Linked DNA regions of Callithrix jacchus. The protein of the gene in region 5 purifies or fractionates together with the protein of the main gene of each other region. This does not show direct contact. Links are inferred from orthologs where the notes say so. Each region holds a gene or a part of one and is shown on either strand. Other genes may lie near its edges.

Evidence for each region.
Region 1: the proteins of INAVA (region 5) and CYTH3 purify together in Homo sapiens (co-immunoprecipitation; 3 studies listed by BioGRID and IntAct, counting the BioPlex papers as one, with this or other methods). This does not show direct contact. The link is inferred for Callithrix jacchus from reciprocal best matches to the Homo sapiens genes INAVA and CYTH3.
Region 2: the proteins of INAVA (region 5) and CYTH1 purify together in Homo sapiens (co-immunoprecipitation; 3 studies listed by BioGRID and IntAct, counting the BioPlex papers as one, with this or other methods). This does not show direct contact. The link is inferred for Callithrix jacchus from reciprocal best matches to the Homo sapiens genes INAVA and CYTH1.
Region 3: the proteins of INAVA (region 5) and CEP170 purify together in Homo sapiens (co-immunoprecipitation; 3 studies listed by BioGRID and IntAct, counting the BioPlex papers as one, with this or other methods). This does not show direct contact. The link is inferred for Callithrix jacchus from reciprocal best matches to the Homo sapiens genes INAVA and CEP170.
Region 4: the proteins of INAVA (region 5) and SGF29 purify together in Homo sapiens (co-immunoprecipitation; 3 studies listed by BioGRID and IntAct, counting the BioPlex papers as one, with this or other methods). This does not show direct contact. The link is inferred for Callithrix jacchus from reciprocal best matches to the Homo sapiens genes INAVA and SGF29.
Region 6: the proteins of INAVA (region 5) and CYTH2 purify together in Homo sapiens (co-immunoprecipitation; 3 studies listed by BioGRID and IntAct, counting the BioPlex papers as one, with this or other methods). This does not show direct contact. The link is inferred for Callithrix jacchus from reciprocal best matches to the Homo sapiens genes INAVA and CYTH2.

Annotation. Positions count from the first base shown.
Region 1 is NC_133503.1:15,993,758-15,997,825, reverse strand, and holds the start of CYTH3 (cytohesin-3), read left to right. Parts: upstream 1-1,268; 5' UTR 1,269-1,399; coding exon 1,400-1,427; intron 1,428-4,068. UniProt on the Homo sapiens protein: Promotes guanine-nucleotide exchange on ARF1 and ARF6. Promotes the activation of ARF factors through replacement of GDP with GTP. Plays a role in the epithelial polarization.
Region 2 is NC_133506.1:134,443,572-134,447,071, reverse strand, and holds part of CYTH1 (cytohesin-1), read left to right. Parts: intron 1-685; coding exon 686-757; intron 758-1,369; coding exon 1,370-1,524; intron 1,525-3,500. UniProt on the Homo sapiens protein: Promotes guanine-nucleotide exchange on ARF1, ARF5 and ARF6. Promotes the activation of ARF factors through replacement of GDP with GTP.
Region 3 is NC_133520.1:42,879,484-42,883,751, forward strand, and holds the start of CEP170 (centrosomal protein of 170 kDa), read left to right. Parts: upstream 1-1,468; 5' UTR 1,469-1,695; intron 1,696-4,268. Other genes in the region: SDCCAG8 (serologically defined colon cancer antigen 8), read right to left, coding at 1,203-1,286.
Region 4 is NC_133513.1:29,281,225-29,285,274, reverse strand, and holds the start of SGF29 (SAGA-associated factor 29), read right to left. Parts: upstream 2,801-4,050; 5' UTR 2,622-2,800; intron 1-2,621. UniProt on the Homo sapiens protein: Chromatin reader component of some histone acetyltransferase (HAT) SAGA-type complexes like the TFTC-HAT, ATAC or STAGA complexes.
Region 5 is NC_133520.1:27,929,877-27,933,376, reverse strand, and holds part of INAVA (innate immunity activator protein), read right to left. Parts: coding exon 3,134-3,500; intron 1,460-3,133; coding exon 1,367-1,459; 3' UTR 1-1,366. UniProt on the Homo sapiens protein: Expressed in peripheral macrophages and intestinal myeloid-derived cells, is required for optimal PRR (pattern recognition receptor)-induced signaling, cytokine secretion, and bacterial clearance.
Region 6 is NC_133523.1:42,350,223-42,354,522, reverse strand, and holds the start of CYTH2 (cytohesin-2), read right to left. Parts: upstream 2,801-4,300; 5' UTR 2,774-2,800; coding exon 2,686-2,773; intron 2,407-2,685; coding exon 2,259-2,406; intron 2,157-2,258; coding exon 2,090-2,156; intron 188-2,089; coding exon 69-187; intron 1-68. Other genes in the region: uncharacterized protein LOC128930433, read left to right, coding at 2,801-3,508. UniProt on the Homo sapiens protein: Acts as a guanine-nucleotide exchange factor (GEF). Promotes guanine-nucleotide exchange on ARF1, ARF3 and ARF6. Activates ARF factors through replacement of GDP with GTP.

The DNA.
Region 1 (4,068 bases), on a different chromosome or scaffold from region 5:
AACGGAAGGATCCTTTGGTTCAATGGACAGCTTATAAATATAAAACAGTTGCTGGAAAATTATATTAGAGATGAACTATCTCCTCCATTACAATGTTTGCTTTTCTGTAATGCAATTTAGTTCCAGCAGAAAGGCTTGGGAGAGGCCACAAGCAATGCTTCAGGAGTTACTGGAAGCAAGATATGGGGAATGAGAGAAGAGATCCATCGATGTGGAGCAGGGGCCAGCCGAGGCCTTGTGCCCAGGAGGCTTGCGCTGAGGACCCTTGCTTTGCCCAAGGGAAATTGAATTCAGAGCTCCTTCTGCATCATAAATTCAGGGCAGCTGGCAGCTCTCCAAGGGATACTGGCGCTAAACTCCAAGGGCATCTGCCGCCAGATTGGCCAACCCCTACAATGCCCTTTGAGGGCTGAGCCCCAGGTGTGTTGGATTGGGATGCCGATCCAGCCTCACGACAGCATTCATTTAGAAGCTCTGCATTTTGTTAATTTAAAAATGCACTCACCGTCAGGGAAGGAGAGCCTCTATTATATATGAGACAGCTGAAAGGCTGGAATTATTCTGACATGCCTATCTTAGGAAGGAGAAGGCCTGACCTTTTTCTTCCTTTTTTTTTTTTTTTTTTTTTTTTTTTTTTTTTTTGAGACAGTCTCACTCTATCACCCAGGCTGGAGTGCAGTGGTGCAATAACTCACTGCAGCCTCGACCTGCTGGGCTCAAGTGACCTGACCTCCCACCTCAGCCTCCCCAGTAGCTGGAACTACAGTCACGCGCCACCATGCACGGGTAATTAAATATGTTTTTTGTAGAGACAGGGTCTCCCTATGTTACAGGAGCTGGTCTCGAACTTCTGGTCTCCAGCAATCCTTCCATTTCAACCTCTCAAAGTACTGGAATACAGGTGTGAGCCACCGAGCCTGGCCAGGTCTGACTTCTGAATGCGTTCGTTTTTTGATCTTTTACCCCGAGTGCAAGTGCAAGTTACACTCCTGACCACTGGGTTTTGCAAAATGTGGTTTCCAGTGTCCGAGGCCCCACGCCCGTCCGCAGGCTACTGAAAGGCTGAGGGCTAGGAAGCTTCGCTCCGCGCGCTTCAGGTCCGCCGGCGCCCTAGGGGCCGGGTCTACAGCAGCAGAAGCCGCCGGGCCGGGCCGGTTCCCGAGGGCGGGGCCGTGCGGCCTCACGCCCCGCCCACCCCCGGGGGGGGGGCGCCCTGGGTCGGTCACGTGACGGCACGCCGACCAGCGAGGCCCCGCCCCGCGGGAGGAGGCCCCGCTGCGACCCGGGCTGCGCGCTGAGGAGCCGCCCGGTCGCCCGCACGCTACCTCTGGCTGCGTCCCCCGCCCGCGGCCCCTCTGCCGTCCGCCCGGGGCTTGCCGGCTGCGGGAGTGGCCTCAAGATGGATGAAGACGGCGGCGGCGAGGGCGGTGAGTGTCGGAGGTGTGGCGGGCTGGCCGGCGGCCTGGGGCCGGGGGCTGGGGGTCGCGGGCGCGGCGCCGGCCCGGCGTCCGCCTGAGGAGACTGGGACTGGGGCGGCGGCGGCGCCTGCTGGAGGCCTGAGGCGCGCCGGGCCGGGGCCGAGACGGGGACTTCGGGGGCCCGAGGGAAGCGGCTGGCCGGGGTCGCCGTCCAGCGCTGGCGAGGGTCCCGGTACCAGGCCGGGGCCACCGCGGGCCGGGGTCGCCCCAGAGTCTCGGGCGGAGGTTCGGGGGTCGCTCCTATGGGGCGGGGGACCTTGTGGGGCGACCTTCCCCGCATCTTGTCGCCAAGGGCGTCCACGCCCTCCGGAGCCAGGCGTTTCGGACGCCCCCTTTGAGCTCAGGTGGGCGGAAGCGGCTGAGCCGGTGGGGAACCGGGAGGGGAAAGTTTGGCATGGGGGGCTCCTCTGGGGTACAGGAGGGGAGGGCAGGGGGAGCGGTTGGAAAGCGTGACAGGCTGCTTGGCTTGGGTCAGAAACGGTCGCCGGATTTGCTCGAACGGGGAGGGGTCTAGCTGGAGTCCAGGTGGGGGTAGGCGTTTTAGGAAACGGCAGACGCGACAGAGTGAGCAAAAAAACTCGATGGAGCGGAGGGTGGGGGTCAGGAGCTGCACCCAGCACCGAGGCGAGACCGGAGAGCCAGATGTGCTCCCAAGTGGGTCGGGTCGGTGCCCGACGTGCCCCAGGTGGTCTGTGCCTGACATTCGGTTTCCTCTTACTGGAGGAATCGTGTTTGTTGGAAATTATTTCGTGGAATACAAATGACTGTTGGGTCATGCTGCGAATTAGATTTTAAAAACAGAAGAACGTGCCTGTCTGTATGGAGTGGCTGTTCGCTTTGGAAAGCAAAGGGTTAATGCCTATGTTTTTACAGGAACAGACGAAGTTGAGGTTCTCTAGACTTTTTTCATTTTTGGCTTTTTTTGAGCTAAAGATCTCCTTTGAGCTGACAGAAATCAGAATCATCAGAACCTCATGTAATAAGGGAGCAGTTTAGAGAAATCTTAATTACAGGCTGCCGCAGCAGCTGCCTGTAAGAATCAGCAGTATTGAATGCTTCAGGATGAAGTGGTTCATCATCAAGGTGCCTTCTAGAATTCAAGTGCTGCTTAGAGGGAGATTCTTTTTGCTGAAAGACGCGATGCAGCCAGGATGGTGGGAAGTTGGCACCCGTCATGGCATTTGGCGAGTTCAGTTCTCATAGTTGAAGCTAGGGGTAGCACTGTGGCATCGAGTGGGTGTGTTTATGAAAAGGGAGCGTTGCGGAACGAAGGAGCCCAGTTGCAAACCCTCCTACAGTCAGGTTGTCCGTCTGGAGCCACGAGATCCTAAGGAATGGATTCCCGGTGGAGGTCGTGTTTCCTGCCTGTCATAATTTGGGCAGAGCAGTTTTCTCTTGTTAGAAAAGAAGGACAAACAACTGTAATATGCAGACGTTTGGCATTAGAGTCAGGGCAGCTCGCTGGCTTGGCAGTTTGTTTTGTACTTTGGGCTCTGAGAAAAGAAATGTAGACTTGAAGATAAAAGCAGGGATAAAGAGGAAAAAAAGGAAGCTTTAGTGTGCTCCAGCAATTTGCAGATCTTGAATAGTATAACAAAGGATGATATTAAGTATCAAAAGTCTTAAAACTGTCCTTGGGCTGTTATTATTATCACAGGGAAGCAACCTTAAAATAAAAAAAAACCTCATGTATAAAGATGGTGTATTATGCTGTTTGTAATAGCAAAACATTGAAAACAGCAATACCAACCGTAGGGGCATGGTGAAGTAAATTATGGAAAGTTTATTCAAGTATTTTACAACCATTAAAATAAGCGGTTTTATACATCATGGGTTAAACAATGTAAAAACTGGTGACATTATGGATTATTTTATTTTTTTCAAGTTTTCCAAGTTTCTGGAATAAGCATGTATTTCAAATTTGAAAAAACTTATAAAAGACATCAATGTTTTAAGTGTATTATTTAATTCACCTCACCAGAACATTCAACAATGAAGATTTATTTATTGATTGCCCAGTAAAATGCCAGCCAGCATGTTAGGTGCTGGAAAATAACTTTTAACTTTTATCGATTTAGTTTATAAATAGCTTTCTCCCTTGCTTTGTGACAGACACTTAAAAATATTTTTGGTAGACTGGGTGCGGTGGCTCACTCCTGTAATCCCAGTACTTTGTGAGGTCGAAGAGGGCAGATCACCTGAGGTTGGGAGTTTGAGACCAGTGTGACCTACATGGTGAACCCCGTCTTTACTAAAAATACAAAATTAGCTGGGCGTGGTGGCGTATGCCTGCAATTCCAGCTATTCAGGAGGCTGAGGCAGAAGAATTGCTTAAACTGGGGAAGCAGAGGTTGTGGCAAGCCAAAATCGTGCCAACGGTTGAGTTTTGAGCGAAACTCCGTCTCAAAAAGAAAAAAAAGAAAAAATACACACACACACACACACACACACACACACACACACCGTATATATTTAGCAGTCTTAGGATAAGTATTTATTTTATTTTATTTTGAGACAGTCTTGTTTTGTCTCCAGGCTGGAGTGCAGTGGCGTGATCTCCGCTCACTGCAACCTCCGCCTCCCGGTTCAA
Region 2 (3,500 bases), on a different chromosome or scaffold from region 5:
CACAGTACTAAGACTTGGCCGTGGGTTGGCTGGATATCAGGGGACTGTGAAGCTGCCATCAGACGTGTGCTGGAAGTGTATGCAGTGCTGTGGTCTCTGCAGATGAGATGGGACTAGTTGGCAGGTGCAGCTCTATTCGGGACAGGAGTTTAGGTGCCTTTGGAAATTCAGGTGTCTCTGAAGACTGTACTGTCTGGCAGTGAAGGGATGGACAGAGGCAAGGGTCCTTAATGGCCTGTACCGTAGCTGCTGTCCCAGGCATCAGGGGTACAGGGCAGGGCAGGGCCGCTAGGGTAAGACTAGGAAAGGTTTCCTGGAGTTGCTGCCCCAGAACTGAGGCTCGAGAGATGAGTAGGAGAGCCAGGAAAAGGGGAGAGGGAAAGGCCCTTCTAGAGGAAGGAGGCTGCACACTTGCTGCTTGAGGACCGGCCCTGGGTCATTGCAAGGCACACTCTTGAGGTACCTGTTGAATCTCCTGGGCTCTACTTACAGAGGACCTGCAGTTCTTTTGGCAACCCTCAGGCATTCTTGATGCTGTTCTTATTTTGGAACGTAAGGAGTGGTCCCTCAGGCCGATTTGTGAACATCATGTCCTGGGAGAAGGCAGGAGAGTTAGGATGAGTTGCCGGGGAGGAATCTGACCATGTGTGTGTCCTTAAACCTCCTCTTTTCCACTGTTCTGTAGGATAAGGAGCCCCGTGGAATCATCCCTTTAGAGAATCTGAGTATCCGGGAGGTGGAGGACTCCAAAAAACCAGTGAGTATTTTTGAGGGGAGAAAGGGGATGGGTGTTTCAAAGATTTTTTTTAAAAACCTGAAACCAAAGCACTGAAAAGTGTGATCAGGCCTTTTATTTAGTCTAATTTTTTATTGTATTGTTCAAGCCGAAGATGAGACTAAATCACTTCTTTCTGTGCTGTCCATCTGGTTTATAGTTTCACTTAGTGAATATCACATGGGGTGTAGAAGTTGCTCCTCCTCAGATGGCGACAGCAAACACTCATGGGTGGGCTATTTATTTTATGACCTTGGGACACCTTGTATTTATTTTTCCTTTGTTTTGGACCATCACGATGTTACTGGCTTGACTTTAAAAAGTCTTCAGTAACCTGTGGTTCTCTCCATATTTTACATGCATTAGAAGTGGAGCCATCTTATATCAGGTTGGTATGTTTGCTAACAAGACTTATTTCTATGCAATTTACAGTCTCCAGAATTCTACTTCTAAGCTTCACTTTTCCTTAGGAAAATACATCTTGCTTGTATTTTGTGAAGGTCAGAATAAAGAGGCTTTGGGGAAAGAAATCAGCGTGTTTCTCAGTCAGCAGCATCCTTTGCTTCAGTCTCTCCTCTCTGTTTTGATTCTCAGAACTGCTTTGAGCTTTATATCCCAGACAATAAAGACCAAGTCATCAAGGCCTGCAAGACCGAGGCTGACGGGCGGGTCGTGGAGGGGAACCACACTGTTTACCGGATCTCAGCTCCGACGCCCGAGGAGAAGGAGGAGTGGATGAAGTGCATTAAGTAAGTGACTTCAGAGAAGGGAGGTGAGCGTGCCTGACGGGCCCTCGCTCACCAGGTGTTCATCGTCTCAGTGGCCAAACACGCCGCCCGCCCCTCTTCTGTGCTCCGAGTGTAGGGAATTTTGGTCCTGGTTCCCAGATGACTTCCCGGGAGGCCTTTGGATTTTTGTCTATTACAGCCTATGTAAAAGAGCACGTCCCATCTGGGTTCCCCAGGTGTCCTCATAGACCCCAAATGGGAAGAGGTGAGTGAGCTGCAGGTACAGATGCCATTGCTGAACTGGCCTTTCCATGTCTGAGGAAGCTGTTCTCGTTATAGTAACAGCTCTGTGGTGACAGTAGTTATGTTTTATCATTTGGGAATGCTATGAGACACCATTTTCCTAGCTACAGATGAGGAAACTGAGGCCCACAGAGGTCAAGACATTCGCTGGAAGTCACATAGCATGATCCAAGGTCCAGGAGGAGGGAAAAGCCTCCTCAGAGTTCCACAGCTAAGAAGTGGAGCTCCGAGTCCAGTGCTCTGACTCCTCACTCTCAGCTCTGCTCCGGCCATGTCAGGTTTCTCATGGGGCTAGAGACTTCTGATGGGAAAAGTGTCTGGAAACACAGCTTTCTGAAGCCAACTGGCTTCTTTTGCTTCATGTTCTTCCCTGGGCCTTCGTCCGCCTGGTCCTGCTTCCGGTCCTGTATGAGGATCAAGACTGAGCATCTGCCTTTGCCTTCTCTCTGTGAGGCTTGCTCCTGAGAGCACAGCCTTGTCCTCCCTCCTAGGTGCTTCATCCATGAGAGTTTACCCAGCTATTTTCCTGAGAAAGGCTCCTCAGCTGCCTGTGACTTCACTTGGGAAACAGGGAGGATGTTTTCCAGGTGACTGCCAAGGCCCCTGTAAGTCCCCTGTATACTGTGTGACGGGCTTTCTCCCACCCAGGCTACAGCCCCCTTCCTCAGAGAGTCCGATACACTCTGGCCTTTGTTTTAGCTTTTGGTATTTCTACTCAAACCGGGGTAGGTTTTGGCCAAGGTTAAATATTTAATAAATGATTGAAGATGGAGATGATGTGGTGATGGAAGGAAAAGATAGATGATTTATCCCTTCAAAAGTAAATCTGAAAATTCATGCAATGAAAAGAGATGGGAGCCAGGCGGGGAGAGGATGGATTTGGATGGATTTGGCGCTGGCTCACACTGTGCTGAGTCCTTGCTCTGTCCCTCTGAGCGTGGTGCCTGGTAGGCAGGTAACCTATCTCTTCTGTCTGATAGAGGTCATTTCTGACTCGTGGGCTCTTGTGAGGATTAAATGAGATCATGTGGTGGGCACAGGCCTCAGCAGCTTCCCTGGCATGACAGCCATCATGGGAAGTGTGGCCCTGAGCAGGGGCCAGCCCACTCTCCATGAGCAGACACAGTGCCACTGTGTTTTCAGAGTCCCCTGCTAGTAATGGCATCAGCCCTGCATTCTGGGGAAGAAAACAGCAGTGTTGTGGGGGACCTGCATCCTTTTTTTAACATCCTGAAAAAGAATTTAACTCTTGAATCATTATAAAACGTGGCTTTTATATAAGATTTGAAGTAAGGGTTGTACAGGATTTTACCTTTGTTCTCACAAATTAATAGCTGATGGTCCTGACGCCATTTATGAATTAATCCGTGTTGCTCCTGCCGATGACACGGCCTCCTTCGTTTGTACCCACCTCCTCCATCACGTGGCAAAGCACCTGCTGTTCCGCCATGTCTCCCAGTGTGAGCGCCACCCAGCCTCTGCCCTGGAGCCGCATGCATGCTCTGACTGTGCTGGCTGGTTGGCTTCCTGGCCCCCCCTCACTGGTCTTTCACAAAAGTTTTGGCTGGTTTTGTACATGTGTCTTTCATGTGGTTTTTATTTCTATAGTTGGAAAAACTAAGCATTTTTCAAAGTTACACTTAGAATCATTCAATCCTTTAGTGAGAGTGAGTGCCGAGTTCTCCTGTGTGGGG
Region 3 (4,268 bases), about 15 Mb from region 5:
ATTAATTGCATGCAAATAGCCTAGAACAATTAAATGGGGGCTGTAGTGATTTAAATAATTAGTGTCCCCAACACACACACACACACACTGATCCTACAAATCACATTCAATCCACTACGCCATACTTTAAATGTGTAAAAACTGTGAATCTGACTTTTACTGGATTAAACAGCAAAGTATGGAAACTGGGCAAAAGTGACATAGAGCCATCCAAGAGTTTCTGCCGTCGCTGGTTGAGAAACATGCCCAAGTTAAGATCAAGGAGTTGGTTCAGGTAACTACGGGAATCTAAGGAAACAACGTTGCTTAACTGTAGAAACAAACTCAAACTATTTCATCCTCCTCAAAAGATCACAGCAACACCCATCTCGCTCCTCTGTAGCCTAGCTGGGGCAGAACGCAGGTGTTAGGAAACGCACCTGGTCTGCTCCCGCCCTCTAGGCCCCGGGCACCTCGGGGCTAGGAACAGAGGTTTGGAGCAACTCACCCCGGAGACTCCGTTGATACTGCCCCAGAATCTCCTCCAGGGTAGAGTTCTCCGGGGACTTCGCCATGCACACTCTAGGCCCAGAGCTGGGAGTTACGGGGGGAAATGTCCAGCTTTCTCGCTTCCGAGAACAACAGGCCCGTGGCCGGGGAGCGCCCGCCCCCTTCCTGCCGCGGCTGTCACAGGGGAGCCTAGAATCCCGCACGGAGCTCTTGGGGGCTATTCCCACCCACTGGCCCTCCCGGTGGACGTCGGGAGTTGTAGTCCTCAGGTGCAGAGCCTGCAAGCTTGACAATTCTGAGAGCCTTCCAGCTACACTACAATTCCCAGAGACCACCGCGCCACAGGCTCTAGCTTGGACGGTTTGGCGGCCACAGCCTGTTGCCAAGAGACAGGTTTCCAGGCCCCGCCCTTTTTCCTGCAGCCCAGCCTGGTTTAGTCCCGCCTCCATCCCATCCTTCAGCTGCCTGGACCACCCAAATGTCAGAAAGGGCTCACTGAAGGCCTTGACGCTTGGAAATTTGCTAACATGCAGCAGTTGATCCCTAAGTCTACTCTAGGACTCAGATAGTAAGCTCTGAACCCTGCTTCAGTTGCGATATTTTTCAAAATGGTCGAATAAATCCTCAAGAAATAGAAACTCTAAAATCTTCCAAACAGCCTAGATTGTAAAGGCGGCCGACACTACAACTCCTAGCATGCCCAGCAACCGGACCTCCACTTGGAGTTGGCGCTCTGCCCACTGGGAACTGTAGTCCTCGTTGGTTGCGGTCCCACCTAAAGCCAAGGTCCTCTTCATTGTTTAAGCTGGTCTCTTGGGGCACGCCTGCGCAGTGGCCAAGCTGGAAAAGCGAGTGGGTGAGACCCTCGCACAACCCCTTTTCATTGTCTGTGTCTGGCGCCTGCGCAGTAAGGGATCGCTGGAACTGGGCAGGAGGAGGGGATCGGGTCCGGCTCCTCGCCATTTCCCGAGGCGCCTGCGCACTAGGCAGCCGCTCTTTGCCGTTACCGCTATGTGTGGGGCGTGTGTGGAATAACGTTATTGCCCGGCGGAGCTGAGGGCCCCGGAGCTCGACCGCAGCGGCAGCGACAGCGACGACAACAGCGGCGACGACGACGACGAGGTCGGGGGAGGACGGCGTGCGAGAGACTCACGGGACGCGACGCGCCCCGCCTCCCCCGTCCGGTCCCTCTCTCCACGGTGAGGGGTAAGTGATGCGATCGGCTGCTCGGTGTGGGCGCCGCTGCCTCCGCGGCTGCTTTTCCACATCCTGCTTCTCTGGTTTGCGGCGAGGACTCGGGCGCGGCCCGCCACGGGGCGGGGGTGCGGGGCTGCGGGGCTGGACCGCGAAGGGGGCGCTTCCCGGATGCTCCGCGCGGCGCCGCCACCCCCACCCTCTCCCGGCCCGGGACCGGGGGGCTTGACAGGGCCACTCCTCCCATCCCCCACCCGCCGCCCCCGGGAGCTCCAGTCCTGCGGGCCCCCGGCTTTCCCGAGCCCTTGCCCGCCGCCTCGGCGTCTCCTCAGTGCGTTGAATCATTTTCAGCTTTCGCCTGGCTTTGTGCAGCCCTCCCCCCTCCGCCGTAGCAGTTTGCTAGGGGTGCGGGCGGAGCATTGGAGGGAATGGCTGCGCGGCCGCTGGGGAAGGGATTTCTCCCCGATTGGAGCAGCTCCCGGGGCCGATCCCTTTTGTGTGGCTGGTTTTGGGGTGTGAGGCGGTTGGCGAGGTCAGGCGAGGAGCCTTTCGGACGCGTCGGGAGGGCGTGGAAGACGCGGTGTCATGCACCGTGCCAGGCGACTGCACCCCGCGGAGGCTCTGGCCCCGTAGTAAACCTGGGGGAGGAGAGAGTGGCTTCCTGTCGGCTTCATTGTCCTAGGATTCAAATATAGGGTCTGGGTACGGTTCGCTTCCATTTTATGCAAGCGAGAAAAAAAATAACATTTGCAGCTGCCTAACACAGGGCGGGAAGACGTGGAGATTGGATTCGAAGTCACAGAATCTCTGTTCAGTGGTGTTTCGTAGAGTTTTATTTTATTTCATTTTTTTGAGGAATGCAAGGAAGACAGACTATGTCTGCTGGAGTCCAAGTACTGCCAAGGTGATCAATATAAAATTACTAGATGACGTTGGAGCCTGGGCTAGAAAGGGCCTGACAACGAAGCTGTTGTGTCAGGGAAATGAACCAGCAGAATTGTTTTCTCATTGGGCGGGTAATGCATTTATGTTCCTGAGGGAATAGACACATCTTGCTGTTTTATTTTTTAAGCAAGTAAAACAAACGAAACAACTGGCCCCGTATAAATCTGTTTCCAAAGTTAACTCATTTTTATTCTCTTAATGGAAATTCAGACATTGAGGAGGAATTTGGCGAAGTGGATGATACATTTGATTGAAAATGCATCCTTTAAAATGATTTCCTCCTTAAGCTTACAAATGCATATGGCCGTTTGCTGGCGTTGCTACTTGAAACACACCAGAAGAGAAAATAAAGCAGGATGGGGAGGAGCAGGTGGAGGAATAATGTGAGGTGAGAGAGTTACATTGTGACTATAGTATCTGGATCTTCACTGGTATATCCCGAGCTGAATATGCTTCAGAGACTTAGGAATTCAGCCCTGGAAACAGTGCATTGATGAATAGCAAGTTATGTATTTTTCTGTCATTATTTTTAAAAAGTAAAACTAGGGTTGCCTTTAGTTCTTCCTAACTTTGGAGATAACACAGAAGAGCCTAAGCGCACTTGACAGAGGAAAACACTCAAACACGGAAAGTTAACTGACTTGTCTGCCCAAGCCAAACTGCTCCTGTAAGGCAGAGCCAAATGAAACTGAAGGTCCATTCCACTGAAGAGTGATCTTTCCTGTGTCCCCCTGGCCCTTTGACCTGCGAAAATGTAGAGAAAGCTTCCCTACGTGCTCCTTGAGTATGCTGTGACTGCCCATGAACTTGATTCTCACCGTTGTATTTATCTAGTTCTTGCCTTTGTCATGTAAAAGTAGGAATTCTCCTGAAATGGACCTTTAGTTTTATAAAGTAACTTACTAAATGAGGAAAGATGTCCTAACATGTGCTTTTAACAAACCGTTGCAGTGTTTTCCTTACTACTTAATAGTAGCTGTATTTTAATATTATTTCTTGAAATTCATTAGTATTCTATAGTAGTATGATGATCAACTCTATAGACAGTGTTGAAAATAAAATTTCTGCATAACAAGAACCTATAATGTTTATTTTGTTACAATTAATGAGCTGTGATCATTAACGGATTTTTAGTGATTACTTTCAACTTAGAATTTAACTTTTAAGATGTATTAACTTTATGTTTCTTATTGGGTTGATTTTACCATAAAGTGCTTTTTATCTTGCCTTATAATTTTAATCGTTTCATCTTACATTGCATTTTAATAGACCTTTTTAAAGGATATATTGTTTATATTAAATTTCAGCTTTAAACATCTGTAACTAAATTTCAGTGTGTGGAATTATATGCAATCATGCTTTAAACGTATTTTATTGGTAAATTTCATTGTGTTCTGAGATTATTTTGTATGTAAATAATCTGCCTGTTCCCTATTTTAACATGAGATAGTGAATTTTTTTTTTTACTATAAACTTTAGCATACGTTCTGCATATTAATCCTATTATGGTACTTTTTAAAATTCTGTGCTTCGTGATTTGTTTGATTTGTTCTAAGTATGAATTTCTTGCTCTTTTTTATCTGCTGAAAAAAGAACTTGTTTTATTGTTGTATCTGGTTGCAGTCAGATAATGCTTATCT
Region 4 (4,050 bases), on a different chromosome or scaffold from region 5:
AGGAGTTCCAGACCAGCCTGGCCAACATGGTGAAACCCCATCTCTACTAAAAATACAAAAATTAGCCAAGCATGGTGATGCATGCTTGTAATCCCAGCTACTCAGGAGGCTGAGGCAGGAGAATTGTTTGAACCCAGGAGGCGGAGATTGCAGTGAGCCGAGATCGTGCCATTGCACTCCAGCCTGGGCGACAGAGCAAGACTCCATCTCAAAAATAAATAGAATCTATATTCATCAATTAGTTAAAGAGACATTAAGATGACGATTTTTTTTCTCCATGCCTCTGTATTGCAACTTATGCCAGTGTTTCTCATTTAAACCTTACAGCAATCCTATCAGTACAGAAGGAGCAGTGTTAAAAAAAAAACAAAAAACAAAAAAACAAATAGATATCAGAATGGTAAGTAGAGTGGGAAAACTGCAGTTCAGATAGGTTATGCAGGGAACTCAGGAAAAATAGTTGAGCTGGGGCTACAAGGCTACAAATTCTAAAACCCATGCTCCTCCCCTGAATTCCAAGTTTTGTTACAAATTCACCATATTCAATAGTAAAAGATCATGGAAGTGGAAGCTTCTGGTCTCTTGTAAACTGCCAATCCACCATTAGCTATTATTATAACACTTGTCAAAGTATCACCAGTAAAATGATGATTGGGGCAACTGAAAAACGTTAGGGAAATGTGATGGTTAACTTTATGTGCAACCTGATTCGGCTAGAGGATGCCCAGATAGCTGGTGGTAACACTTCTGAGTGTGTCTGTGAGTTCCAGAGGGTTTGCTTTACTGGGCTTCCAGCTTGCAGATGGCAAATCTTGGGACTTTTCAGCCTCTATAATTGTATGACCCAATCCATCACAATAAATCTCAATACATCTATACATCTATACAGTTCAATACATCTACACAGTTGACCCTTGAACAATATAGGTTTAATTGTGCAGGTCCACTTATACATGGATTTTCTTCCACCTCTAGGACTCTTTTGAGACAGGGTCTTGCTTTGTCACCCAGGTTGGGGTGCAGTGGCACAATTTTGGCTCACTGTAGCCTCCACCTCCTGAGTTCAAGCGATTCCTGTGCCTCAGCCTCTCAAGTACCTGGGATTACAGGCACACACCACATGCCTGGCTAATTTTTGCTGTTACTGTATTTTTAGAAGAGACTGGATTTTACCACGTTGACCGGGCTGGTCTCAAACCCCTGACCTCAGGCAATCTGCCCACCTCAGCCTCCCAAATTGCTAGGATTACAGGCATGTGCCACCGCGCCTGGCCGGTATTTACATTTAAAATGTGAAACTGGGGCCGGCTGTGGTGGCTTGCGCCTGTAATTCCAGCATTTGGGGAGGCTTTGGTTAGGACTGCTTAAACCCAGACGTTTGAGGCTGCAAGAGGCTGCAGTGAGCTGTGACAGCACCACTGCTCTCCAGTCTGAGCAACAGAGAACCTGTCTCGAAGAAAAAAAAAAAAAAAAGAGATTGATAATGCCTAGGGAAGAATCAGCAGGCCAGAGGCAAAGGAAGAGAATGTTCAGCAAGCCAAATGAAGACAGCATTTCAAGAAGAGGCAGTGATCAACAGCATCAAATGCTGCTACAAGACTGAGACCTAACTTAACAATGAATTTGGCCACCTAGAGATCACCGATGGCTCTGATAAAGAGCTGTTTATGTTTTTTGTTTTTGTTTTTTTTTTTTTTTGAAACGGAGTCTCACTGTCACCCAGGCTGGAGTGCAACTGTGGCACCATCTCAGCTCACTGCAACCTCCACCTCTCGGGTTCAAGCGATTCTCGTGCCTCAGCCTCCCAAGTAGCTGGGATTATAGGCACACACCACCATGCCAGGCTAATTTCTGTATTTTTAGTAGAAATGGGGGTTTGCCAGGCTGGACTCAAACTCCTGACAGGTAATCCACCCACCTCGGCCTCCCAAAGTGCTGGGATTACAGGCGTGAGCCACCGCTCCTGGCGACAAGGAACTGTTTTAGTGAAGTGGTGGAGACCAAAGCCTGACTATAGGCTCAAGGGTTCAAGACTTGGAGGAGGCACTAGGGAAGATAGGCTGAGGTCTCTGGCTGCAAACCCGAGCTGAGAAGGTAACTAGAGAATAGGGAGAGTGAAGGAGGTTGTTTTGCTGTTAAGACGGGCATTTTTGTCCGGGCGCGGGGACTCACGCCTATACTCCCCACACTTTGGGAGGGCGAGGCGGGATGCTGAGTCCACGAGTTAGAGACCAGCCTGAGCAAATGACAAGCTGTGTATCTTTAAAAAAACAAAAAAAGATTCTTTTGTGCAAATAATAAGTGCTGGAGTTCGGGGCCCAGCCTCTGTCCGCATCTTCGTGACCCTGGGCCGAGTATGCCACCTGGGGGGCCGCGTCCCTGTCAAGCCCGGCGTGCCGCAGTTTCCCATCATCCGGGATGGAAGCGCGCACGCGCAGACCTCGAGAGGCCGGGCACAGGGCCCGCCCTCCCCGAGCCCCGCCCCTCCCATCCGCAGCGCTAGCGCACCGCCCCTCGAGCGCCGCCTCAGGGAGGCCGGGAACCACTGCTCAAAGGGAGGACTCAGCCCTTGGCTCCCGCGCTTTGCCGGAGGGCTTAGGCCACAGCCCGTCCCCACCTACCCAGTCTCGGACAAAACAAGCTCGTCGGGCTGGAAACCGACGTGGGGAACAGGCGCATTCGTCGAACGCTTTTTCGGAGTCTGCGATGGTCACGGACCTCCGTTCGAAGATTGGCGGCACGTCGAGAACCGTACACGCTTTTTTTTCCTTGTATGAGCGTAGTCGCGCGAGGCCCCTCTACGCATGCGCGGTCGTTCCTCTGTGACGTGACGCGCTGCCCCTTGGGAAATGTAGTTTTTACTTGCCATACCTCTCCGGCTCCTGGCGGAACCCTTTCAACCAACCAGAGTGCGGGTGCGTTTTCAGCGTTTTCTTCCATTCTTCCAGACTCTGTTTTAAACAAAATGCAAAAAATAAAACAACAACAGCTTGAAAGCGAGCAGATTGTTGCTTGCTGGAGGAGGGTGGGCGCAGGAAATATGGTAATATGGAAACTGCACTTTCTGCTCAATTTTGCTGCGAACCTAAAACTGCCCTAAAAAATAAAGTCTGTTGTTAAAAAATTAAAAACAAGTAGATCGCTAAGAAATTGAAATTTTAGGGAGTCTTCTTAGAAAAGTATTAAGGATATGGAAGTGCAATGGACGTGTAGCCTCAATGGTATTTATCGAAGGCCATCATAGTATCATACAATTTCTTAACGCTTCAAATGTCCGTAATTATATATTTGTTTGTTGATTATTTGATGGACTTGCAAGTCCTATGAGATTGGGATCATCTTTTGTTCACCTGTGTATTCTTAGGACCTAGCACAGTGCCTGGACATCAGCATGCTTTTTTCTTTTTTTCTCTTTGAGACAGGGTCTTGCTCTGTTGTCCAGGTTGGAGTGCAATGGTGCCACCAGGGCTCTTGAGCCGCTAGGACTACAAGCTCACACCAGCACATTCTGCTAATTAAAAAAAAATTTTGTAGAGATGGGGGTCTTGCTATGTTGCCTAGGCTGTTCTTTAGTTCCTGGGGTCAAGTGATTCTCCTGCCTCAGCCTCCCAAAGTGCTGGGATTACAGCCGTGAGCCACTGGACTCAGCCCCGTCAGTATTTTTCTGTTTATTAGAGAATCTCAGGCTTAGCACTGGAACTATATTAACCCGAAAATTAATTCGTCGTTTTCTTCCATCACACTTGGCATTTCTTTCTGTGTGCTCTAGGTCAGTGAATAACATGTCCATCCACCCAGCCTCAGTTCGACTTACTGCATTTTAGGAAAGTTATGCTTTGAGGGATTTCACAATTTTTGAATTTGTAAAGATCTCAGGAGCTCTTTCTCCTGATTGTTAAATATCAGCCGTAACCCAGCTGCGGCTCACGCCTGTAATGCCAGCACTTTGGGAGGCCGAAGCGGGTAGGTCACAAGGCCAGGAGTTGGAGACCAGCCTGGCCAATATGGTGAAACCCTGTCTTCACTAAAAATACAAAAATTAGCTGGGCA
Region 5 (3,500 bases):
GACTTGCTCCCGTTGCTGCAGCTGGGATAATGAATGAATGCCCTCAAAGAAGATTCAGCATCTCGTCAGTGCTTGGGAGGGAGTATGCCCATGTTTGTATAAATAAGTACCTTCTCAGAGCAGAACCACAGCTGAGGGGGGAGTGGGAACTGTGACCCCCTTCCCCAACATGCCACAAAAGTGGTGCCTTTCCAAAACCACTTGTAAAGAATTGGTGTTTAGGACTATGATGAAAAAATGTTAGAAGGGCCAGGTGCAGTGGCCCACACCTGTAATCTTAGCACTTCGAGAAGCGGAGGTGGGTGGATCCTTTGAGGTGAAGAGTTTGAGATCAGCCTGGCCAAAATGACAAAACCCCATCTCTACTAAAAACACAAAAATTAGCCGGGCCTGGTGGCACGTGACTGTAATCCCAGTTACTCAGAAAGCTGAGACAGGAGGATCTCTTGAACCCCAGAGGCAGAGGTTCCAGTGAGCCAAAATCTTGCCACTGCACTCCAGCCTGGGCCACAGAGTGATACTCCATCTCAAAAACAAACAAAATGTTAGAGGGAGCAGTGAGTGGGGCTGCAAGCCCTTGAGACGCCCAGAGGTGGCTGTCAAAGGATGGCTGCTGTCCACTAACCACCAGTATGGGCCAGTCCCCAGCTGGACCCCCTGAGGCTACAATCTGTGATGCCACCGACTCAAAGCTCAGAAGTCTGGGGACCCACAGGGCATAGACAGGGCATAGTGACTGGGTCCCTAAAGAGGATTTATGGGGTCAGGAAAATAGCACGGTCTACCAAGACAATACACCACCAGGATATACTGATCTTTGACCTCGCACTTGGTGTGCATCACAGAGCACATTAGAAAGGGGAAAGGGATTCTCCCCCAGCCCAGGCCCAGGCACTCACAGACCTGGGACATGGGGGAGAGTCATGTGCATGAGTATGTACCGTATCCAGCCTCCAGCAGTAGTGGGACAGGAGGGCCGGGGCAGTTCTCCAGGGAAGTTCTTAGGACCAGAACACAGAGCTTTGGAGAACTCCCAAGGTGGCCCACTCTGCTTCACGTGTCCCCTGCCACTTGTCTTGCCTAAGGAGACAGATGCTGTCAGTCAGACAGGCAAGACCTTAAGTCCAGTAGGCCAAACTCTGGAGGGTAAAGCATAATCATATCACGGGGATCTTCAGGATGATCACATATATAAATCCTTAGGTCAGGGCTTCTGAAAAAAGTCGTGTAAAAAAAACAAAATAAAAAGTCTCAGCTCCAGGTCATCGGCCTGCGATGGGGGTGGGAGAGCTGAAAGAGGCACTCAGGGGTGGGGGGTCTCAGCCCACCCCCTCCGTGAAAGTCTTTTCCAGCATGGGGCACAGAGTTACACCTGGCTGATGATCTCTCCTTTCTCAGGTACAAAGACTTGCACAGGGGCCCCGTCAGGCGATCTCCGCAGCACACACACTGTGGGCACCTGCCAGGGTCGGGAAGGAGAGGTGGGTAAACGAACCAGGCAGAAAAGCGGGGACAGTAGGCACAGCTACACCATCCTTATCCCTTAGGGACACTGACCAGCAGCAGCAGCAGGCCCTGGCACTCAGCCCCTTCCTCCCCAGGAGGCTCTGTCCTTCAGGGATCCCCCTTTACACATTTTCCTCCAGGTTCCTTTGGGGTGTGACAGGCGCCCTGACCTCCTCCTCCCCACATTTCCTGCACTCACTTCTCATCACCCTGTCTGGCAGGTTGGGATGGGCTGGGTCTATCCAGCCAAGGACAGGCCCAAGCGTGCATGAAGGAAAAAGCACGTCAGCTAGAGGGCGAGGCCTGGGACTGGGGCCAGGGTGTTGCCAGGCCCAGGATGCCAGCTGCAGCCCAGAGTACCGTGGGTGGGGGAGGGACACGCAGCTGGGCCTGCTGGGAACCTGGGGTCTAAAAGAAGCAGCTTGTTGGTAACTTCTGGAGCACGTCCCCTGCAGAGCCCTCCGTACCAGGGAGAAAGAATGAAGAAAGGATTCCTGTGTGTGATTCCCCACTTCCAGAATGAAGAAATAGGGGCCAAGGAAACCAAGGCTGCCACCCTACCCAGTATCAGAGTGCTCTATCCTTTATACTGCCCCCCAGCCTGCTCCCTGGCCTCTGCAGCCCTAGATGATAATAATGTCACATATCTAGTGCTTGCCATGCATTGCTCTAATCATTTCTGCCTCTTGGCAGCCCTGTGAGACAGGTACTCTACTACTTCCATTTCACAGGGGAGGAAAGAGTAAGTCCAGAGGGGTTAAGTAACTTGCCCAGTCATACAGTTCGTAAGTGGCAGAACTGGGATTTGAATCCAGTGGTCTAGCTTGAGGGTCGGTGTTCTTTTTTTTTTTTTTTTTGAGACAGTTTCAAAAAAACTGGCCTTGTTGCCCAGGCTAGAGTTCAGTGGTGTGAGCTTGGCTCACTGCAACCTTCACCTCCCGGGTTCAAGGGATTCTCCTGCCTCAGCCTCCTGAGTAGCTGGGATTACAGGCGCCTGCCACCACGCCCGGCTAATTTTTTTGTATTATAAGTAGAGATGGTGTTTCCCCATGTTGGGCAGGCTGGTCTTGAACTCATGACCACAGGCAATCTGCCCGCCTCAGCCTCCCAAAGTGCTGGGATTACAGATGTGAGCCACCGCGCCCCACCGAGGGTCGGTGCTCTTAACTTTGATGCCACCGTTCTTCTCGGCTTGGTGCTGAGGAGGGGTGTCGGGGAGGATGCTGTTGCACAGGGTCTGGCCTCTGCAACACATTTCCTACTCTCCCTTTGTCCTAGACCTTCAAATGGACATTTAAGGGGCTGATTTGGATTGGATTTTTTATTATGAAGAGGCCTGTCTGCTTTGTGGATCATCATTTAGGGAGGGAAGAAGTCTCAGTATCTTCGGGGATCATCTCCGCCAGTGTATTTACTCTTGAGCTACACATGGCCGGCAAAATTAGGAGGTGCCCCGGGGAAGCCAAGAGGAAATGATTTTTTGGCCTGTTCTTCCTAGCTGGGGATTACCCGGCCACTGGGTTGCTGCTTCGTTACCTCCCTGCCCTTGGACTTGCTAGAATTGAGGCCCCTCCCCAGCAAGACAGCCCTCCTGCCTGGCCCCAGGGTCCCTCCAGAGCAGCCATACCTGTGTCCGGGGTCCCAGGGCTCGCCCGAAGCCCTCTCTCCCCAGGGGCAGGCTCCTGACGCGGAAAGCCCCTTGTCGGTCCAGTGAGTGGGGGCGGGTGCTCCGGAGGCGTGCGCGCTCGTGCCACCACTTGAGCTCCTCGGACACAGCAGCCTTGCTGAGTCCCCGGCCTGCCGGGCTGTCCTTCAGGGAAGGCGTCCGCACGATGCGGCTGCGGGAGGGCACCAGCCGCTGGTAGCGCAGGGGAGCGCCGTCCTCCTCGTAGGCAGGGCCCAGGGCTGCGCGGAAGGGCTCCCACTCGCCAGGCGGCAGGGGGCTCTCAGCCACCACCACGTACCGCCCCGCCGGGAAATAGCCAGGGGGCAGC
Region 6 (4,300 bases), on a different chromosome or scaffold from region 5:
TGTAAGGGCAGGAGCTGGGCATGGGGGGGCGGGTGAGAAACCCCACGGGAGCTGAGTGGTGGCCATACCTCTCCCCCAGGTAGTCCCCGATGGCGGTCTTGTTCAGCCCCTCGCCCTTGTATAGGAAGCGGGCGATCTCCTCGGGTGTGTTCTGCAGAAGTTCGTTCTCCACCAAAAACTGGATGCCCTGGTGGTGGGGACAACAAGGTCTCAGTGCTGAGGGCCAGAAAGCCACTCCCCTCACCTCCCGGGGAATCTCAGCATCCATACCTACCCCCACCCTCAACAGACCAGGGCCAGCTTCATTTTCAGCCTTCTCACAGGTCCTTAAACAGCATTCTTCCTGACTTAGAGCCTTTGCAACTCATGGCCCACCCTTTCTGCCTTTGCCTGGTTAACTGCAGCATCAACAACAGGGTCTGGCTAGGAACAGGGGCTCACTACATTTTCTTTCTTTTTTTTTTTTTTTGACAGTCTCATCCTATCTCCAGGCTGGAGTGCAACGGTGTCATCGCAGCTCACTGCGATTCCGTTTTCCGGTTTCAAGCAATTCTCCTGCCTCAGCCTCCTGAGTAGCTGGGACTACAGGCACGCACCACCACACCTGGCTAATTTTTTTGTTTTTCAGTAGCGATGAGGTTTCACCATGCTAGTCAAGATGGTCTCGATCTCTTGACCTTGTGATCCACCTGCCTTGGCCTCCCAAAGTGCTGGGATTACAGGTGTGAGCCACCACGTCCGGCTTTTTTTTTTTTTTTTTTTTGAGACCTGGTCTTGCTCTGTTGCAGACTGAAGTGCAGTGGCGTGATCACAGCTTACTGCAGCTTTGAACTGCTGGGCTCAAGGGATCCTCTCACTTCAGCCTCCTGAGAAGCTGGAACTATGGGCATGAACCAACACACTTGGATAATTGATTTACTTATTTACATCTTTTCTAGAAATGAGTTATCACTATGCTGCCCAGGCTGGTCTCAAATTCCTGCTTCAAGCAATCCTCCCGCCTCGGCATCTCGAAGCACTGGGATTACAGGCGTAAGCCAACTAAACCAGCCAATAAACAGTTACTGAATGACTGAAAAGGGTTCCAGTTGCTTCAGGAAACAATAACGTGACAACCTGTTAGCAGTCTCTCCAGGGCTGTGAACTCAAGAGCCCAGGCTAGGCTGAGGCTTCTCTGAGTCTCTGTGCTATGAAGACCTCTCTGTTACTGCCGTATCTCACTCTGAATTGTGCTACTGGTGTTCAGGGAGTGCAGGGCAGCATCTGATTCTTCTTTTGGTCTCTAGCATCATCCTATACAGGATCAGACTCTCAAGAGGCCTCGGAAAATGGGTGTTAAATGAGTATGTGAACAGGCTGGGCATGGTAGCTCACGCCTCTAATCCCAGCACTTTGGGAGGCTGAGGCAGGCGGATCATGTAAGTTCAGGAGTTTGAAACCAGCCTGCCCAATATGATGAAACCCCTTCTCTACTAAAAATAGAAAACTTAGCTGGGCATGGTGGCGAGAGCCTGTAAGCCCAGCTACTCGAAAGGCTGAGGCAGGAGGATTGCTTGAACCCAGGAGGCAGAGGTTGCAGTGAGCCAAGATCGCATCACTGCACTCCAGCCTGGGTGAAAGAGCAAGATAATGTAAAAAAAAAAAGTGAACAAAACACTTTCCTGAACCTGGTGAACACCTATTCATCCTTCAAACCTGACCTGAATGTCTCCTCCTCAAAGAAGCCCTCCCTGACTCTACCAGCCTGCCCCCTCCCGATACCTCTGTCATGGCAGTCAACTCTCGTTTGTGCACGCCCCTTTGTCCACAGCCCCTACAAGACTCGGAGCTCATCCTGAGACTAGAAGAAGTGCACCCATACAAGTAGACAGTGAAAGAGAACCCTCCCGGCAGGGGACGCAACTAGAGTGTCAGGAGGGCTGGAACACTTTGTGTGTTCCAAACGGACAGCCAGTCTCTGAATCCAGGGATTAGGACCAAGTCTGTCCACCTAGAACAGACCCGGAGCCATGCTTCTGGAACCCGGAGGTGCCAGAAGTTCCTGCCTGGACGTCTGCCCAGCTGATCCCAGTCCTGTGGCCCCAAGCACCTTCTTGGGGTCCATGTTGAACTTCTTCCTGCCCATTGCCATCTTCCGGTTCCGCTGCAAGGTCTTACTGCAGGAGCAGAGAGCAGGGTAGGGGGCGGAAGGTCAACGCCTGGACATCCCTGGCCTCGGCCAACCCCACGCCCCCCAGGTCGTCCACCCCAGCCCTCACCTGCCCTCATTGGCCTCTAGCCCCTCCACCTCGCTCATGGCTTCGCTGAGCTCCTCCCGCAGGCGCTGAATCTCCACCAGCAGCTCCTGCTTCCGCCGCCGGATGTTCTCCAGCTCCATCCGCTCCTCCGGAGTCAGGTCTGGGGGTTCTGGGGGTCAGGGTCAAGGTTTCAAAGTCAGTGCTGGGGGCTGTGAGCCGGGATTCCCGCAGTCTGGGGGTGGAGAGAGCTCGGAAAGGACGCATAAGGGGCTTCCTATGTCTGGACCGAAGAATGGACTGGGGGCCTGGATTCCAAACTCTCGAGTCCTGGGGAAGGAGTGGACTTGGGGCCCGGATTCCTGAGTCTGAGGGAGAAGGGGAATGGGTGCTTGAGCTCTTAGGTCTGAGGGAAGAAAGGGCTGGGAGCCGGAATTTCTAGGTCCATTACTTGGAAGGGGACTGAGGCTTTGGTTTTCTGACTCCATTCCTGGAGAGGTGGTAGCTGAGGACCTGGCTGTCCGGACTCCTGGGTCCATGAAAAGTCACTACAGCCAAGGGAACTGATGACAGCTCGACAGAGTTGGGAAGGTGGGGCGGGACATCGACGGCCCCCGCCCCCCAAGATTTCTCCCCTCCCGGCAACCCGAGTGCCCCTCCCCGGCAGGCGCCGGGCTCGCCCGCCCCTCCAGCTGGAATGGTTCCGCCTCGGCCGCGCCTCCACCGCTCCATCCCGCCCCTCCCGCCGCCACCGGAAACAGGCTCAGCCCAAACAATGGCCTGGAACACCCCGCTCTCGGTTCCAGCCGGAAGCCCGTCCAGCGCCCCACAAAAGCGGCGCGACGAGGCTACGGCGGGACCCAACGCCTCTGGGCGGCACGCACCAGGAAGAAACGTTCGCGGCGGAACGTTCAGGAGAAAACGCTCTAGCAGCTCCCATCCGACCCCGCCCCTCCACGACCTACCATAGACGCCGTCCTCCATGGCGGCTAGGAAGGCCCGCGGGGAGTCCGGGGCGGTCCCGCCAGTCGGGCCTGGATCCGCGTTGGCCCGCGGGCTCTGGTGAGCCCGCTCAAACGCCCCGGGAGCCACCGCCGCCTCCTCAGCGCCAGTCCTCAGCGCTGAAAAGACCCTCCCTTCGTCTTCCAACCGCCCCTTCAGTAGGGACCGCCCCTCTTTTTGACACCGTCCAATCCACAGTGGGCGCTTTCGTCCTCCCCGCCCTCGACACCAAAGGATCGTCCTCCAGGGCCAAGAGTCGCACAAAAAGCTGATATAGGTATGTCTGGCCGGAGGTAGACGGCCCGCGGGACCAATCGGAGTGCAGGCAGGGCAGCAGGCCCCGCCTCTGAAACAACAGATGGCCCTTGACAGGCTTGCTCTCCAATGAGAAGCCTCGGAAAAGTGTTGCGTGGAGGCGGAGCTATGTGGAGCAGACATGACGGCGCCTGCTCAAAGGCCTTGGACACTGGGAGACTAGGTCAACCGAACCCCGCCTCCAGCGGTGCGTTGCTAGGGGGAGGTACTTTGTTAGTCTTGTTGCCAGGGGGCGGGGCTACAACTGTGGCTTGTTTTTGAAAGCCACACCTCCTAGCAGCCCATGCTGGCTTCTGACCGCAGAGGTTGCCATGCAACGGGGAGCAGCTTTGAGCCTCTTTTGCATTTCTTCTCCGGGTACTTTCCTCTCCTCTCAGTCCCTTCTAATCTTCAAACTCCTTACCATCATCTATGCCCTCCCCATTCCCCTTAGCCTCTTCAGAGTCATGGAGTGGTGAAACGAAAGATTTATTCTTTTTTTTTTTTGAAGTGGAGCCCTGCTCTGTCACCCAGGCAGTGGCGCGATCTCGGCTCACTGCGACCTCTGCCTCCCGGGTTCAAGAGATTCTCCTGCCTCAGCCTCCCGAGTAGCTGGGACTACAGGCACACGCCACCACTCCTGGCTAATTTTCGGTTTTTTTTTTTTAATAGAGTCGGGGTTTCACCGTGTGGGTCAGGCTGATCTTGAACTCCTGACCTTGTGATCCGCCCGCCTTGACCTCCCAAAGTGCTGGGATTACAGGTGTGAG